Linked DNA regions of Drosophila melanogaster. The protein of the gene in region 2 purifies or fractionates together with the protein of the main gene of each other region. This does not show direct contact. Each region holds a gene or a part of one and is shown on either strand. Other genes may lie near its edges.

Region 1 (3,147 bases), about 14 Mb from region 2:
TGGAGTACATTTCGCAGTTCTACCGGGCAATGACACCCATTACCCAGTGGCTCCTATTTCTATACGAGTCCTACTCCGGCCTGGAGGTGGTTTCCGGAGGACTCTTTTCCGCAATGTACCTGGGTGCCAAGATATTTGAGCTGGTGGAGCGCGGCAAGTCGCTAAAGAAAGCCATTGTGACCTTCAGAAAAAATATTGTATGAATGCCTGAGACTTGATTGTTATGTACACATTTCTAATACACATTTATTCAAGGACTCTGAGCGGCCGCCGACCAAAGACGAGCTGGATGCTGCGGGTGCCCTGTGTCCAATCTGCCATGACGCCTTCAACACACCCACTGTGTTGGAGTGCGGCCACATTTTCTGTGATGAGTGCGTCCAGACCTGGTTCAAGCGCGAACAGACCTGTCCGATGTGCAGGGCGAAGGTTAGCGATGATCCCGCCTGGCAGGACGGCAGCACTACCTTCTTCCATCAGTTGTACTAGCTGCGCCACCAAAGAAATTTCCACGGATTTCGCGTGTACATATAGTCGCTAGCTAGCCCTTTGTTTAATTAAACTGACAGTTATTAATTATTACTACAAGTCATGAAATAGCTTATTATATTTTTGCATTTTTGGTAAATTAGCTATTTGCGACGCTTGGCGGCGTCCAGAGATCTGGCTTCGTAGAACTCTCCATCACCGCGGGTGGCCTTCTTGTTGATCTCCAGGTGGCGCTCTTTGGTCACAATCTCTTCCAGCACCTCACTGTCGCCTTTGATGAGCCGGACGCGACCCGTCACCGGGTCCACCTCTTTGCGGATCTGGCTCTGACGGCGCTGGTATTCCTCTGGAGTTTCCGGGGCATGTGATTTGCTATTCATCAGTGCTTGGGTTTTGGGGTGGGTTTAGAGTGTTCAGCAATAATAAATATATACAGGGGGGCTCTTACGGACCTATTGGTATGGCAAAGTCATCCTCCTCCTCCTGGTTGACCCTTTCAGGCTGTATTGGTGTTGGTGAAGCTATCGGCGGAGATTCTTCCTTTTTTCGGTTGTGTTTCTTGGATTTCTTTGACTTGTGCTTTTCCTTGTGTTCCCTGCGCTTCTCCTTATGCTTTTTCTTTGATTTTTTCTCACTTTTTCCCATTATGCGGCTTGCAGGTGAACGTAAACAAACTGATTTTTGAAGAATGACAGCAAAAATTCGATACTCTGATACCCTGTAACCAAATGTGGGGTATGTTGTGTCAGCGGTGTTGCTGCATTCTTAAAAAATATTTTGGAATATATGTTTACTATTTATGTAATTATTCATTTTATTATTGATTACATTATAAAGTAAATTTTTATAATTATTGGAGTTGAAATAAATGTTGGTATTTGAGTCACTTAATTTCCCTAACAAACAACGGAAATTAATCAATTTAACTCGAGTTGAAAAATTAATGAAATTAATGAAACATATATACCCACTTCAGTAGGGTATGTAACTGCACTACGTGCAGTGCTGGCCAATGTCAAAATTCTTCTTCGACCTACAGCACTGGTCGATTTTGACAGCGCCGCGTGGAATGTGGATAGCAAGTGGAACTTAATCGGACGCATGTTGTGTTGTGTACAAAAAGAAACGTCAAACTAAAGTCGAGCGAACCAAAACTAAACGGCCAAAAAATAAGCAAACCCACTGATAACCGGAAAGGATAAGGCACAGGAAATACGATTGTTTACCAGAGAGAGCGGCGGACCCGTAGCGAACCGCTCCCCGAAAAAGCGGCTGCCCCAAAAAATCGCCCATAAGAGAATCCACCAAAAACCCATTTGCCCACACACACACACACACACAACACACACACGCGCAGCCAAGGAGCAAAAGAAGAATTGCGCCAGAAGAAGCAGCAGCATAAAGAATCTAGTAGTGCAAACACCCGGATCCACAGGTACTCGTTCCAGAGGTTGGAACAGCGCCACAGGAACAGCCAAGCAGTCAGCAGGAGAGCACCAGTATCAGCTACCAGTCAGCATCATAATTGCCAGGATGAGCATGGAGAAAGTAGCCAACAAGCAGTACGAGACGTAAGTGGAGCACCTCCGCCACCCACGCGCACCGCCTGCCACACACAACCACAATCCCAGCCAGCAACAAAACTGGGCCAGCACCATCTTTACTTGGAAAATTGTTAGGTTATGTTCTGGGTGCATTTACGTGCTCCGAATCGCTTTATTAGTCTCGATCCTCTTCTGACTGGCGTATTAGTACCTCTGCGGCCAGCTGCTCGTCCTTGTCGCAGGCCAGATAGGCCTGAACGGCCATCACACGTTCGAAACCCAGTGCCTCCAAACGCCCTACGGCGGCGGTTTCTTCGGCGGTTAAAGTAATCTGTAAATGTTCAATCTCGTTCGGGGTGCGACTTGCGCCGCCTGAAATCATGTTCATTAACTCCTCCTGGTTACGCTGAAAGACTTCGAAGGTAGCCGGATCGGTTTCAGCCAGTCTGTTCATTAGTCTGTGTATTAGTTCTGGATTCTGATTAATCATCTCACGCATCCGTGTAATGTTAAGATCTGCCATTAATTGCTGCAATTGATCACTTGTCTGTACGCTCGGGATTGCAGCTAATCCCTGCTCTGAAACAACCTCCTGAGGAATCCCATTAATCAAATACTCTATAGCCCTTTCCGGATGATTAAAGCTCGCCCGGAGGGCTGAGCGTACCTCCTCTTCGCCATATCCCATTGACATGAGATCGCTCACCCACTGATCATTGGGAGCTAGTGAAGGCACCACATCCTCTGTGCGCAAAACATTTGGGCCAGCGGCCAACGGTGGTGTCGGGGCAACCTTCTCCTCTGGCGAGCTCTTATCAACCTTCTTCTTACCCATCAACACAATGATCTTGTCCTCGGCTATACGATATTCACTGAGGGGCATGGCATCCTCCATAATGCGGCCACTGTATATCAGCTGAAGGTTCTCCGCGGGCATGGCGACTTCGGGTAAATTGCCCAATTTCTGCTTCAGAGCCCTCACCTCCTGCGATTCGTTCATCTCCAAAGTGATGGTGCGTTGGTCCAGCATGCGTATAGACAGCTTCATCGTTTTTGTTTTGTTAAACTTAATTTGGCTGCGAGAATTTGTGATAGTTATGTGAAAGTGCGGCGG
Region 2 (6,153 bases):
ATCAAGATCACAAATACAGAACAGCAATCATTTTATAAATTCAGCTATATTTGATACAGAACGAAATGTTATAGTGTATTGTGGCTTTAGAAGTCGGATGCTAAGTTTTATCGGTGCCAAGCATCTGGGGTTCCACTTGTAAGTAAAAATTGAAAGAAAATGTTTGTTTATGCATAGCATTTAGTTATGGCTACCAAAACATAATATACGATTACATATATACAATTTTTCATCAATTTTGTTTGTTCCGAACGCTTTATTTGTGTATAAAACCCCAGTTTTGTTCAAAAACCTTGCCTTGTTTATATTTTATAAAAGTCATTTCAATAAAACTATTCAAGTTAGATACCTCAATAATAATCCCATACATTTTTTTAATCCAATAACTATTGCCTACTCTCCGGGCACAAACAAAACAGTTCTGATCAAAATATTCGAAACTGCATTAAAAGACACCTAGCTTAAGAGCCTGTAATGTTAATCGAGTGAACAGAAATCAGAATAGAGCAATTGTGAAATAAAAAATCGGTCCGTTCTTTATTAACCAAGATCTCGTCCACTAGCTATGCTAAAGCCCATGACCTCGAAGATCTGGTTAACATTAGCCTGATAATCCTGAAGATGGGCCCGCTGCAACAGCGTAACGTATACGAAGGGTCCATTGTAAGAAATAAGCTGGAGGAAGAACGCTCTGGCCGGCGTCTGTAGCTCTTGCGGCTGTATTTGTGATAGGTATATTACCACCGTGCTCATGATCTCGTGCAGATGTCTTCCCTCTATCTGAAGACCGAGTATAAAGTCCGCGAGGCTCTTCAGCAGCTTAAGCTGCAGTTTGTACTCCTGAGTCTGCGCTTGCGAGGTCTCCGTGCTGCTGTGCAGGGATGCTGTCTTCAGGAACTGCTTTAACTGGGGTATCACATCACTGAAAAGCACAAGGATAGGGTAAAAAGATCTAGTTATCCTCGAAACAGTGACTTACCTAAGGCTGCGTTTAAGTATAAAGTCCTTGGCATGAACGCCTAGCAAGTGCAGCAGGGTGAAGCATCGGTTTAGCACCAATGCGTCCTTTTGGCGGAATTTTTCGATCAGAGGTTGCCACACTAGATGCACTAATGGCAGCAGCTCGTCCTCGTAGTCCGCCAGTAATGGCAGACCACTGGAGAAACATTCCAAAGCTGCAATCTGCTGCCCCTGATCGGCGGTGGAAATGAACTTGATTACTTGACCTAGTATATCCTTAACCATTTCCACGTGGCGCGGAAGCACGGGCTTCGTGGGTTTCTCTTCCGTGTCATCCGCATCGTCGGCTTCATCCTTTGCCGGCTCCTCGGCGTCGCCCATGTTGGTGTCGCCATTCAGATCTTTCAATAACTTTGGCCTCTCCAGCACACTCATCCACGTGCTTAGGACATTCTGCTCCTCATCCACTTGCATCGGCAGCTCGGTATCAACCTCCGCCGCAGCATCATCATGCCAATCGGAAACATGATTCAGGAATGATTTGAAGACGCGAAGATAAGAGTGCACGTTGGTTGTCTGGTGTGATTTGGAGCACTCTTCGCGTATAGTTTGGAATAAGCTGTCCAGGTGGGGCACATTGCCGCGTGTGCTGTACTGCAACACGACGGTGAGGATGTCCACGGCGGCCGTGCTATCTGGCGATCGTTTTAGCAACGCGTTTAGGTGAAAAGTGATGTAGTCGGTGGAGCATTCGATAAAATGTGAGGGCTCCGCATATTTAAGAGCGTACTGCATGGAAACGAAGGCGAAACTGGCCGCTTGATGGACGATAGTGTTACTGCTAGCCACCTTGAGAAGCACTTTGTGTAGACTTAAAAATATATGCCTGTCGAAGGTATCACCAATAAATCTGGCACAGTGACCCACTGCATCCAAAATTAGGCAGGTGTGCAGAACATTAAACTGGGCGTCTGCAATGGTCACCCGACTACCGACCACCTCCGTCTGCTCGTCATCAGAATCGCAGTCCTGGGTGCGTACCTCAATCGCCGATGAATAGATGCCAGGAGTACGGTCCTCAAACCAATGCGTGGGCTAAAAAAAATTATAGTACACATTGTACACATATAAAATCCATTCTCACCTTGTTGACCTTAAGGCGCCACGCCGAGTCCGGCTGAAGGGCCAGGTTCCAATGCTCGTCTCGAAGGATCTGGTCCAAGAAAAGTTTAGCCAGCACCAGTCGACTTCCCCGCGCCTTCTTCTCCTGCGGCGTTACCATCAGTGTTAGAAGCAGCACACACTCGTTCATGGATGGTGACCTTTGCTGAATCATCTCCTGACAGTAATCAAATACAAGTCGATTTATTGTTGGCTCAGTACCCAACAGGGCTCCAATGTCATATAGGATATCAACTGTACGCCTTGAGCTTAGATACTTGAACTGCCTCCAAGGCAGTTTGGCCAGTTCGGCGGCCAGACCTTTGGAATCACCTTCTCGAATACGTCGAAGTGAGTATTCCTCGTTGAGAAGGTCCCTGGTTGGCCGTTGATCTAGTGCTGTCAACAGACAAGTGACGAACATCTCCAGATTTTTGGGAACTAGCAGCAATAGCTGCAATTTATCGGTGTTGACGTTGCGTAGGAATCCTTTGAAGAACAGAAGCTCGGCAAACTGTTCGTTGTCCTCGCAGCGATGCAGTATGCGTGGCCATTTATTGAGGTGTGCATCTAGCAGCATCTCCGCATTCTCATCGAATATGTCTTGGCTGCTGGCCTGTTGTTGCAGCAGAAGTAGGGTGTCCCTGCACCGCTGGGCTATCTTCTCATTCTCGTCCTCTGACAGAGCCAATACGCTCTCTAGTACATGGAGAAAGTTTCCCCTCAGATTGTAAGCACAATGTTTTAGCAACAGGCAACACATATCGGAGTAGGATTCCCTTACCCGTATTGCGCTGTGAGTCCGTAGAATACTCATTTCGGCAAATATTGGTCGAAGGTGCCTCGAAGTGGCGGCCACCCACTGATGCGAACGAAGCTCCGTTTGCATTTGATGCAATCGCTCCTCATTCTGTTCTGTAGTAGCCTTCTTGCTGGCAAAAAAGGTGAAATCGCATTGATGAGCCTCTTCGTTGTTTTTGAACAGTTTGCGGAAGGCATCTCCATCGTAGCGCATTTTTATAAACTCATTAGTGGTCTCCTCAAACATTATGCAAATAATGCGTCCCAGCGCTTGAATTGCCATCTAATTATAATATTTAAATCAATATAAATGAAGTTATACAAAACCATCGAAAAACTCACCGATTTTATAGTCTCTCCCACCTTGTCATCTTTCATTGATGTTTTGAACAGCACGATGAGTACCTTGGGAAGGAATATAAATATGGTATTGGCTACCTGACTACGCAGGACAACATCCACTTGATCGGATTCGTCATGGACATAGAAAACCATCATCAGACACTGAATGGCTGTCTGTACGAGTTTTCGATACTTTTCCTGTTCGATGATTTCCAAGAGCATGATCAGTATCTGGCCAATAACCATCGCAGTCTCCTTAACGTAGAAAGATTCCACCACATCAGTGGTGGAGCGACGAAGTGCCTCGAATATACACTGAACGGCTGCCAGTTTGATTTCCTCGGAAAGGTTTGGTCGCATGGACGCTGTCTTGGAGTCGCGTACCTGTTGCAGCACCACCACCAGGATGGAACGCAGACCCTTCTCATCGGCCAGGTATGTTTTGGAGACAATGTTGCTTAAGCAGTTCATCAGGCTGGTGCGAAGTTCCTGGTTTTCTCTGCGGAAGAGACAGTCTTCTCTGAAGTCGAAAACCCAAGCGGAGCGGAGCCACTTACCCGGTTAGCTCATCCAGTTTGACCACCAGTGGCACCACCGTTTGCACCTGGTAAATGCGCATTTCTCCAAAGTTGAATCCCTCGATTGCGCGCTCCACCACCGACAACGTGTCCTTGCTGGGCTCCTTGATGAAGCCTTCCACCGCTGGCTTTATCTTCGTCACATACCACTCTAGATGCATCATCGTGGCAGCAGTATTCACTAACCAAATAAACCCAAAGCGAAACCCGGCAAAATCCGGGAAGAAGTTTTGAACCAACAGCTGTTCCGACAGTCACATGCAAACGCGCGCGTTTTCACCCCCGCCACCCACAATCGCTATCGAAGTCTATCGGTTATTTTGAATTGCGCGCCAAGCCGCCCTTAATTTTGATTTTCTTTTATTTAAAGCACCAGTATTGACTAATATATTTCGAAGTTTCAGGATTTTGGTAAACTCGGGATTGGCTTTGTTAAATACTACAAGTTTACATATTCAGATTGTATTTGAAATTAATCATCTAGCTATAGAACTCATGCTGAGCTTCGTCCTTGCGCACGCTGGTCTTATAACCCTTTTCGAAGTCCTTGGCATTGACCACATAGCGATTCTCGCGCACTGCATGCATACCAGCCTCTTGGCAAATGGCATTGATATCCGCATTGGAGATCTTGTCCGGACGTGCAATGATGTCCTCCAGATCCACATCCTCACCCACATTCATTTTCGAGGTGATTGTGGTGAAAACTAAGCGCTTCTGGCGACGATCCGGCAATGGTAACTCAATTTTCCGATCCAAACGGCCGGGTCGTAACAGAGCCGGATCTAAGGTATCTGCACGATTGGTGGCCATGATAACCTTAATGTTGGTGGTCTCATCAAAGCCATCCATTTGGTTGAGTAGCTCCAGCAGGATGCGCTGCACCTCGCGATCAGCACCTGTCTGTGCATCAAAGCGCTTGGTGGCAATCGCATCGATCTCATCAATGAAGATAATTGAAGGAGAATTCTGCTTGGCCAGGCGGAAAAGATCTCGCACCATGCGTGGCCCCTCGCCTAGGTATTTCTGGACGAACTCGGAGCCCACGACACGAATAAATGATGCAGTTGTATGATGGGCCACCGCCTTGGCCAGCATGGTTTTGCCACATCCAGGTGGTCCAAAAAGGAGGACGCCGCGTGGGGGATCGATGCCTGGAAGAGAATTAGTGGAAATAGTCTTTTGATATTGCGAATACCCACCAATTTGCTTGTAAAGCTGGGCGTGGGTCAAGGGCAGCTCGACAGCCTCGCGTATCTCCTGTTTCTGGATGTCCAAGCCTCCAATGTCGGAGTAGCTGATATCCGGTTTCTCATCCGGCGATAGCATCGATATGGTGCTGTCCGCCTCCGGTGGCACCAGATCGACCAGACAATTGCTTTGCTTGTGCAGCCCAACCGAAGAGGACGGCTTCAGTTGCTCCCTGTCAATGGTGGATAGCACTCGAACATAGTAATTGGATCCGGTGGTGGAGGCCACTATGCCGTTGTTTTCATCCACCGCCTCCAGAAACTGGCCAATGACCAGAGGCACGGCTTTTATGCGCTTAACTTCCTCCTGAGCGTGTATGAACTCCTTCTTCAGATTGCGTTGCTCCTCCTTGATATAATCCTCCTGCACCTGGATGAGCTCCAGCTCCATCTGAAGCTTCTTATATAGTACATACAGATCATGCGGATCCAGTCCATCATACTTCTCCAGCGACTGCTCGTGAAACTGGGCAATTTCCTCCTTTAACAAACGCATTTTCGTCTTATCCCTGTGGAGATTCGATTCGAAGTGAAAGGCAATGACACGAATTTTCAAAGGCTAAAGCAGGTTATCGTAAAAAAAATATCGATAACTGTTAACAGGATAAGAATGGCAATACTAAAAAAGCTTCAATACATGAGCGTAACCAGAAACAATTATTTAATACTTATTGAATGCGAAGTTATGATATATTGTATTTTCAAACTATGTTGATTAAGCCCGATCGATATATAAAAATTATACAATTTCTAAAATGATTTTTAACGCTCCTTCGAAACTTTTCGCGTCGCCACGTGAATGGCAATCAGCTGTTGAACCGACCTGTTGTTTTTCTTGGATTTGTTTTTGTTGTGCTTGCTTTTCTGCCTCCGACGTGGAGCGATCTATTTATATATCTATTTTGGTTTATTTTGGAACCACAAATTCTCTTCGGCATAGGAAAAATATATATGCCTAGGCATTGACACTTTTTGTGAGACATTCAAACACTTAGTCAAAGAAAGGTGGCTAGATATCGACATTGTGCAACGCCGGCTTCGATTGGGAAATCTTCGTCAGA
Region 3 (4,570 bases), on a different chromosome or scaffold from region 2:
AATGGGCTAAAGTAAAACCCGGCCCCTGTGCTTAGTGCACCAGCTCTCACGCAATTAGTGGGCCGCCCGGGTGCCTCGGTGGTGCGCGGTTCTCGGCGAGATGCCCCTCCTGCTTTGGGGGCCCCTCCTGGTGCTCCTGGCTGTGGTTTCGCTGTAATGATATGTGCACGGATCGGATAAGCCGACTGATCATCAGCGCTTCCAACTTAACGTCGCTTAATGGAGTTGTTGTTCTTGCTGGAAGGCCCATTTTAGGTGGCTTCGCAGATTGAATTAATGCGCTGATTTATGTAAATTACACTAATTCGTATTACTCAATTGGTTATTCAATATTCATGGTCTGGTCGGGCAAGAACGGTTTGTTTGCTCAAATGGTCTTCTGCATATGGAATTTTCGGCTTATACTAGGCTAAAAAACATGAGTCACTTTGAGATATTCCCAGCATGTGTAACTAGTGAGCATCTTAGCGTATCTAATAAACGCTGAACAAAACACATTCAATCATTCGCATTCTGTGTAACGTTTTGGGATCCTATCTACAAATCCTCTTTATATTTTAAACATTTTTGTTGTTTTAGTTGATTTTGGAGCTAACAATTTGAAGCAACATAAGTACATTTTAACATAAAACATTGGGTGTTTAGGCTACTCCGTATTCCTTGAAAAGGTTGTCCAGCACAGCCGGATTCTTGCTGGGCCAGTTCTTGATGGCGTTGAGGATAGACGAAACCACTGTGAAAAGGGGAAAGTACATGAAATGCAAACGAAATTATGCAAGAAAAGTTTTGTCACCTACTTTTCTTCTCCTCTGCGGACATGAGCATGGCCAAAATGGTGAATTCGTCATTTTTGCTGATCTCCAGCAAGACAGCTGCTGTGTTTGGCTCCTTATTTGGTACAAAGAAGTCGTGGATGGTGCGCAGCAGGTCGGCAAACGTGTCCGAATCGAAGCCTGCTCCCAGGATCTTACACAGATTCGGGACTTCAATGGACTTTAGGTATTGGTACTTCTGCGGACCACTCAGCTCCTTCCAGGTCACATGGAACTGTGCTGTGCTCGTGGGTGCGGGCGGTAAGAAGCGCTAAATCATAGAGAATTGGTTTAATAATAATTCAGCTTTGATCTTAAGCGAACCTACCTCTATTGGACTGGGTGACATTGCGTTGTTGCTCGAAGCTTGTTCAATTTTTTCAGTTTGCACGGTATTGACTTCTGGGCTGCGTTCTATTGTGGTCTTTGGTGGAGAAACTTGAGTCTGAACCTTGGGGACCTCGACAGCCGTTTTTTTGGGTGCACTTGGCTTGGCCTCATTATCGGATTCAGGCACAATCTTGGTATCCTTGCGTGTTTCTGTTTCTTTGGGGGTTTCCACAGCTGGAGCTACTTTAACCGCAGTCTGTTTGGTAGGCTTGACTTCTTTGGAGGTCTTAGCAATGGTCTCAGCTTTGGGTGGACCTGATGTGTCTGGCATTGGCGTCGGCTTTGGATTTGTTTTTTTGACCTCTTCGATTATGCCGCAGTTACTATTAAATATCTTATCTATGTCCTCATCCGAAATGCGTAGTTGGTTGCTATCATCGATGGTAGCACGAGGAGATACCACGTCTACAACGGGAACACTGCGCATTGCCTTCTTGGAGCGTTTATAAGCAGGCTTCTCGATTGGCAAGATCTCAATCATGCCAGGACGATCGGGTGTAAAGTTTGGCCCACTTTTGGTGGCTGTAAGGATGCCAATGAAAAGCCTTAAAATATGCTTACTAGGTAATCAAAATTATATTTACCAATCTTGCGCAGACGGTCGTTGATTCTGGCCAGGCTCCTCTTGGCCTCGATGTTCTTCGGCTCGATGGCCAGCACAGTGGTGCAATCCTTCAGGGCTTCCATGTTGTTGCCCAGGGACTCGTTGGCCTGCATTCGCCGGTAGTAAGCTTTCACGCAGAGCTTATCCAGCGCAATGGCGGCCTCGCAGTCCTCCACGCATTGATCAAAGCTGCAAGGATAAATATGCATGTAAGGAAGAAGTATCGAGAACATTCTAAACAGTCCTACCTCTCCTGTTTTAGGTAGCACAGTGCCCGGTTAATGTGGTAAATGGGATCGTGGGGATAGACGGCAATGGCAGTGGAGTAGGCCACGATGGCCTTCTCGTACTCCCCCTGCTTGACATAGGTGTTTCCACGGTCCTTGATGTCGTTGGCCTTCTTGTACTGCTGGGCCACAGGATCCACTGGCAAGTCCTGTTTCTCCGTGGGTGAGCTGGCCGCCGAGGAGGATGGGCTCTCCTTCCGCGACTTGTCTGTCTGGACATGACTGCGCACTGGCAGATCCTGCATTGAAAGTGTGAGCTTTACTTGTTAATACCAAAGAATTTAAAGCTAACCTTATTGGCGGCAGAAAGCGGCGACTTCTGGAGCTCTTTCTCCTTGTTTTTAATGTCTTGCTCCCAGGAGTACAAGTCCTTCACGGAGTTCTCGTACTCCCGCGCGTTCTGGCGCACCTGGCGCTGCAGTTCGAAGGCTTTTTCCTGTGCACTCATATTGATTTGCCTTGTCAAGTGGCTAAAGAAATATTAAATGTTTGTTATTTCTGTTGCTAGCGCTCCGACAGTCTGGCAGCACTGCTCGCTGTCGATAGTTCAACTGAGTTGCTGTTTCATCGAACAGAGCTGCCAACTCTATTTTTGTAGCTGGCCAGCCAGGATTGCCAGAGTAAGGCCCTCAAATCAGCTGTTTTGTGTTTTGATTTTATTTTGAAAGTCCTAGTTTAAAATTATGCTTTCTCCGACAGATCAGCACAAATAATACTAATAAAGCTCACAATGCTAAGGTTGTGCCTTCCAACTCGAGCTGGATATGTGCGTAAGTAAGGACTTTACGTCTATAAAACTTGTTATGTAAAGTAAATGTTTGCCTATTGCGCAGTTTCTCGAACGACAAACCAAGAAAACCCGAAACACACTATGAAGTTTTGAATATTCGCAATGATTGCAGCACCCGTGAAGTCCGTAATGCCTTTGTCCAGCTCTCCAAATTGGTAAGTAACTCCAAGATTCCAAAGGAGCCTCCTAAACCCTGCCCTTTCCACAGTACCACCCAGATGTTAAGAGCAATGCTGCGTGTCCGGAGCGCACAGCCCGATTTGTTCAGATCTCCGAGGCGTACAAGACCCTGATAAAGCCGGAGCGGAGGAGAGACTACGATGACAGCCTGCTGTGGCAGCCATCGCGCTCGGACCGCAGTCCCGTTGGCGAGACGGTCAATCCCGGCCAGGCGTGGGATGTGAGGCCCAACTACGATCCCAATCCAGGACCGTACTATGGCATCCGTGGTCTGAAGAGGGTCTCCAACTGGCAGGTGGCCGTGGTTCTGATGGCCCTAGGCTTCGTCGGGGCACTCTTTGGCTTCACCTCCGTCAGGTTAATGATTATGAACCAGAGAATTTAAGTAGTCACACTGAACTTTCACCATCCCCAACAGGTCGTCCTTTAAACTGAGTCGCCAGATCCAGGACGAAATCTCAGCAGAGGCTAATTCCCATCATGCCGCCGTTGTGGCCGATGCCCAGAAGTACGGCAACGAGGAGCAAGTGCGTCGTATGGTGGACCGTATGTCGCGGAGTCCTTTCAACCAGTCTTCGGCTAAGTAATCCCATTTCCCCATTTCCTTTGGTCAAATTAAACGTGAAAGCATATAGCTATTTTTGAATATTTTGTTTTGGTTCAAGGCAAAGCAAACTCAAGAGCGATTGCTTAAGCGCCAGTGTGTTTTGCCAAAATTAAACAATTTCGTCGGCCTTCGTAGGCGATTGAGCAAACTGTGCAAACAACCAGGGCGACTACTTAAGCACTCCGGCCGCATCCATCGAAGCATATTAAAAGCAATCCTACTACCAACATGAAGTCAACTATTCAAATCGGCACCCTGTGCATCGTGGTGCTCGTGATCTGCTGCCTGGACTTCTCCAGTTCACAGAACTCCTCCTCCACTTCCACCAGTCCCACCTACAGCTCGTCCAGCACGCCCAAGAAAGTGTACCTGTCCAACTTGACGTACTCGATTGTGAGGAAGATCCGTGTGGGCACCACCACCGCCAGCAGCACCAGCCGTAGTTCCAGGACCAGGAGCAACCGGAAACTGAACGCCAAGAAGACCCAGGCCAAACGGAGCCAGGCCAAGCGCTCCGGCAAGAACAGGAAGTCGAACTCCCGCCGTGCCAGCAGGGGCTAAGTTGTTGTCCAGTCGGTTATGTTATTAAGACAAGGTTTTATTTTGAGCTCGTTCTAAACACAAAACACTTAAGTTTACCGTCGCGACGGGAAGATTAAATTAGATAAATACGTAACTTGTACTGTTTGTTTACACTACGCTGAATCGAACGTTGATACACTACTGGGAACCCGCCACCGAACTACAAACTAAAGAATCACATACGATAGTACAAAATCCGAACTCAGATCGTCTACAGCTTGGTCTGCGCCGCCTTCGCGGGACCCACTTCCTTGGCCATCACCTGTATGCCCACGTGCGGGGCCGCCGGCTTGAAGACCACCTCTCCCTGAGGCTTGT
Region 4 (4,023 bases), on a different chromosome or scaffold from region 2:
GTTTACGGAGTTTCCAAGGAGGACCCCGCCGGCTCAAGTGCTCTGATCAAAAGACTCATAAAGCTTCTGGGACAGCAGAGCATTCAACATGGTAACGAGCCTCTTGTGTGGGAACTGGCCGCCTTGGTGGCCCAAACGCCACTGAAGAAGGCCGAGAAACTGGTAAAATCGTATCGTGCGTACACACCGAAGCATTTGGGCTGGGAAACCAAGTCGGAGCACGCTTTAAAAGCCCTAGATCTTTGTTTAGAGGTCTGCGATCTCTCAGTGGCGGCCATCACAGAGCACATTCAAGAGGAAAGTGAGGTAATGATTACCTCTCAACTAAATTCAGCCAGACTGGCGGGAACATCTTGTCTGAATGCTTTGAAGAGAGCCATAAATGTGGATGTATCGGCAGAACAGACTGCAAAAGTGGAGCAGCTGGAAAAACGCATCGAAGACCTGACAAAAATTGTCCAGGAACGAATGAATGCGTCTCGATCTTAGTTATACACTATATAAGGTTTTATACTATTTTGTAATTGCAAAACAAATAAAAAGAGTCATTTTTTATTGTACATGAAATAGTTTATTGCTGATATATATTTGTAAGCTAGTTTTGATTTGTAATATAATTCAGCTCAAGCAGATTATCCAGTTTTTCTGATTTTAAAAGCTATTGCGCATTAAGGATTTATTGTCTAGCAATAGGTGCAATGAAAGTGTATTCATAAAAATATAAACCTATGAATTAACCCATCATCCAATATCACAAGTATGAAGCATTTCTTTAATGGGTTTCTTTTGATGTCCACCATCTAAAAAGTGTTTAGTTTGGTGGTAATTAAAACGCGCACGCTTTGATCGAATGCTCCACAGACGGCTAGGCCCAGTTTGTCTGGATGCCAGTCAAAGCAGTGAACCGGCTGAGAGCTCAAAGTGGCTGCACTAAGCATATTAAGGGCTCCAGCAACTCCCAACTTGTTTCCATCAGAGTCATCAATGACCCTCCTGTCGGGATACTCGTACTGCCACAGGCGAATGGAACCAGTTCCGCCGCCCGTGAGAAAGAGATCCCGATTCTGGGGCAGATGACGAACTACCCAAACGGTGGCTTTGGGTCCGCTGATCACGCCATTTGTTCCCACGCTGCGTCCGGCGTTGCGTTCCTCCACGTAACTAAATCCCTTGGTCGGATGTTGGGTTCTCATATCGAAGACAAGGAGACCGCCCTCCAAAGTGGTGACCGCTAGCTTGTTCATGGGAATGTCCCGGCGATCGAACTCCAGTCCACAGATACCATTCTTCATGGTGGCCTCCCAGCGTACGGAAAGGGATCGCAAATCGAATATCTTTAGATCTCCATTATCATAGCCGGCGGCAACGATGCGCTCCTCAGCGTTGTAGGTATTTCCAAAGGCCACGGCCCAGCAGTCCCGGCGGCCACTGCTGTTGTTAACGCCATCGCCCATTTGCGGCGGCGGCGACATGTCCACCACAGGAGCCTGCCCCTGGCGGATATCCCAGACTTTAACGGCGCCGTCACGACTTCCAGTAACGATTTCCGGAGCACCGCAATCGATTTGTGTGCCGCCAATCGCGTCGATGGTGTTGATGATGCCGTTGTGGGCCTTTACATTGTAGACCGGAAGGTCCGGCTGCTCCATATCCCTGCAAAGAACACATGTCAGAGAAGCATCTAATGACTTAAGCGGGATTATGCTTACAGAACTTGCAGCCTGCCCTCGAAATCTCCGATGGCCATGTGGCGGTTCCTGAGCGAAGCTGCTCCGAAGGTGCCGCATTTGAAGGCAACCTTCTTCTCTACGGACTTCACTTTCACCAGCTTATCCTGGTTGAGTTCGTAGATGTCCATGATTCCGTGCCCGTTGGCCTTGGAGCCCAGAATCACAAACTTGGCCGAAAGGGGCACCCATTTCGTATCGTACACCGTGTAGTTGAGTGCCTCGTGGAGGTGCTCAATAAGCTGGGGCTTGTCCATTTCAACGATCTATATTTCCGTCTCAACTTTATGCTAATATTCCAAAAGCGGCCGGTGAAAACTTAAGGATTTATCAAAAACAAGTTGTTTTGTTGTCATGGCTATCTCTTCCTCTTTTTCAGTGTAGCCGTACATGCAGCGCCTGAAATATACCAATCAGCTGACGGAAATATACCAAATCTAATTTTTAAATAGATAAATTATAACATATCCACTAAAATGCAATATTTAAAAAAATAATAACGCTTAACGTTTGTAAAAAGTATATCCCATTACTATAGTTCACATTTTGTACTCATATAATCAAATAATTTAAAATTTACGAAATAATGTGTGTGTACGATAGTTATGCCGATACATTAGAAGGCATCGGGAACAGCTGTTAATGGTGGTAAGCTTAAAAAGCTTTCGCCACTCTGTGAGTTGAATACTTTTTTCTTCAGTTTTACTGGGTCAGTCGGACGCTGTTTTGCTTCTGTCGCGGATTTTCCACATATTTAGTTTTTGGCGCGAGCATCTTTTTTTGGCGTTCGACCCCCCAATAGCAACAACAACAGCAACAGCAGCAACAACTTCATATATAACGACAAAGAAACACTTTTACGTGTGTCGCAAGCGACGCTTTTCTGCATTAAAAAAAAAACGATGAGATATTAAACGTGCGGGGTTAAATAAGCGAAAATAAATATTATTGAAATAACAAAGCGCAGCTTATAGCGTTGGCTATTAATTTGCGGGCCTTTTAGCCGGTTTTATATAAGTGATAATCGTTTTGGCAGAACAAAAACTCGCTAAAGAGTGCTCAAAGTTTAGCATATTTGCGATGCATGCGCCAGAAAAGTGTTAATCAATTTTTTATTGGCAACAAGTGATACAACAATAACAAAGGCGCTATCAAAAGTTGAAGGTGCCAACAAATCGACGGCAGTATAGACGACTACAAGAACAACAACTACAGCAACAGCTGTACTCGTTGGCAACCGAATTGAGTGCCAACTAAAAATTAATGTAGTTTCTCAAAGGTAAAAGCCACAAAGATTCTTCCATTCTCGGCATGTTTTCACATTCATTTGTATTGCCCAACATTTCCTTACTTCCGCCGTTGCCTTTCGATTTATCGTCAATTTTGGGGACAATCACGTTAATTGTGTACTTTTCAGCTTTTTCATTGGCTTTATTGTTTCTGTGTGCCCTCTCTGTTGTTTTCGGTGCACTTGCACTTGACACACACTCATAGTGTATAATATTTAGTATATAAGCGTTATAGTACATCATGTATATAGTACATATGTTTATGTCATTCTTCCGTTTTGGCGACTTTTTGCCAACCTGTCGCATCGCCCGTTCGGAATACCCTATACTTATTGGGATTTGTTGATAAGCCCACCACGCTGGGGAGAACAAATAGTGAATGGAAACTAATTGGTTTTTTGGTCTGAAAAAAAAAAAAAAGTAAATATTATGCAACACGTAAAGTGCACAATTATAAAGGCAATTATTTCTACAAAAATTCCCCTTAACAGTCGACTTGGTCTTTTTGTAAAAATTATTGGTTATGAATACAGAACCAGATTTAAATAAATCTATAATTATATTTTCTTTCTGACAAATATAAAATTCTAGCTTTATACTTTCCCACAACGAAGCGAATAAAACTTGTGAATTACTTATCAATCAATCGGTAATTTACACAGATTATTTTTATACATTATCACTTATACGTGAACTGTAAAGATTGCCAATAGTCGTTGCCTTGGGCTCAAGATTAAAACCCTCCACTTTCACACCTGTTTCTAATTTGGGATTAAAGTTTTCGCAGCTAATAGCACGCAATAGCTGCAATAATAATCTATAGTAATAAATAGGGAAACTGAGGGATTAATGATAGCACTCATATTGTGCCGGGAAATATTTCATATCACGCGCCTATATTTAACTTGCATATGAGGAAGTATACGCGCACATACAGAAACTTATATGTATGTGATTGAAATGTAGAATATTTAATATTTATTTTCACAACTAATGTGTTTTAAAAA

The links.
Region 1: the proteins of Tti1 (region 2) and CG18428 purify together in Drosophila melanogaster (affinity purification with mass spectrometry, with the first as the bait; one large-scale study listed by BioGRID). This does not show direct contact.
Region 3: the proteins of Tti1 (region 2) and spag purify together in Drosophila melanogaster (affinity purification with mass spectrometry, with the first as the bait; one large-scale study listed by BioGRID). This does not show direct contact.
Region 4: the proteins of Tti1 (region 2) and Wdr92 purify together in Drosophila melanogaster (affinity purification with mass spectrometry, with the first as the bait; one large-scale study listed by BioGRID). This does not show direct contact.

What each region holds. Positions count from the first base shown.
Region 1 is NT_033777.3:24,107,383-24,110,529, reverse strand, and holds CG18428 (uncharacterized protein), read right to left. Parts: upstream 1,195-3,147; 5' UTR 1,135-1,194; coding exon 942-1,134; exon of another isoform or gene 875-941; coding exon 633-874; 3' UTR 520-632; downstream 1-519. Other genes in the region: CG13605 (uncharacterized protein), read left to right, coding at 1-197, 256-489; CG10694 (uncharacterized protein), read right to left, coding at 2,209-3,081; eIF4EHP (eukaryotic translation initiation factor 4E homologous protein), read left to right, coding at 2,023-2,060.
Region 2 is NT_033777.3:9,750,576-9,756,728, forward strand, and holds Tti1 (Telo2 interacting protein 1), read right to left. Parts: upstream 4,112-6,153; 5' UTR 4,007-4,111; coding exon 3,822-4,006; intron 3,764-3,821; coding exon 3,265-3,763; intron 3,206-3,264; coding exon 2,105-3,205; intron 2,056-2,104; coding exon 980-2,055; intron 923-979; coding exon 541-922; 3' UTR 513-540; downstream 1-512. Other genes in the region: Rpt3R (regulatory particle triple-A ATPase 3-related), read right to left, coding at 4,323-4,996, 5,045-5,588.
Region 3 is NT_033778.4:24,157,442-24,162,011, reverse strand, and holds spag (spaghetti), read right to left. Parts: upstream 2,629-4,570; 5' UTR 2,542-2,628; coding exon 2,386-2,541; intron 2,333-2,385; coding exon 2,055-2,332; intron 1,996-2,054; coding exon 1,787-1,995; intron 1,725-1,786; coding exon 1,141-1,724; intron 1,084-1,140; coding exon 798-1,083; intron 734-797; coding exon 642-733; 3' UTR 509-641; downstream 1-508. Other genes in the region: DnaJ-60 (DnaJ-like-60), read left to right, coding at 2,824-2,867, 2,927-3,038, 3,092-3,420, 3,482-3,650; CG42568 (uncharacterized protein), read left to right, coding at 3,899-4,231; speck, read right to left, coding at 4,464-4,570.
Region 4 is NT_037436.4:17,906,215-17,910,237, reverse strand, and holds Wdr92 (WD repeat domain 92), read right to left. Parts: upstream 2,096-4,023; 5' UTR 1,985-2,095; coding exon 1,710-1,984; intron 1,654-1,709; coding exon 801-1,653; 3' UTR 555-800; downstream 1-554. Other genes in the region: CG5290 (uncharacterized protein), read left to right, coding at 1-489.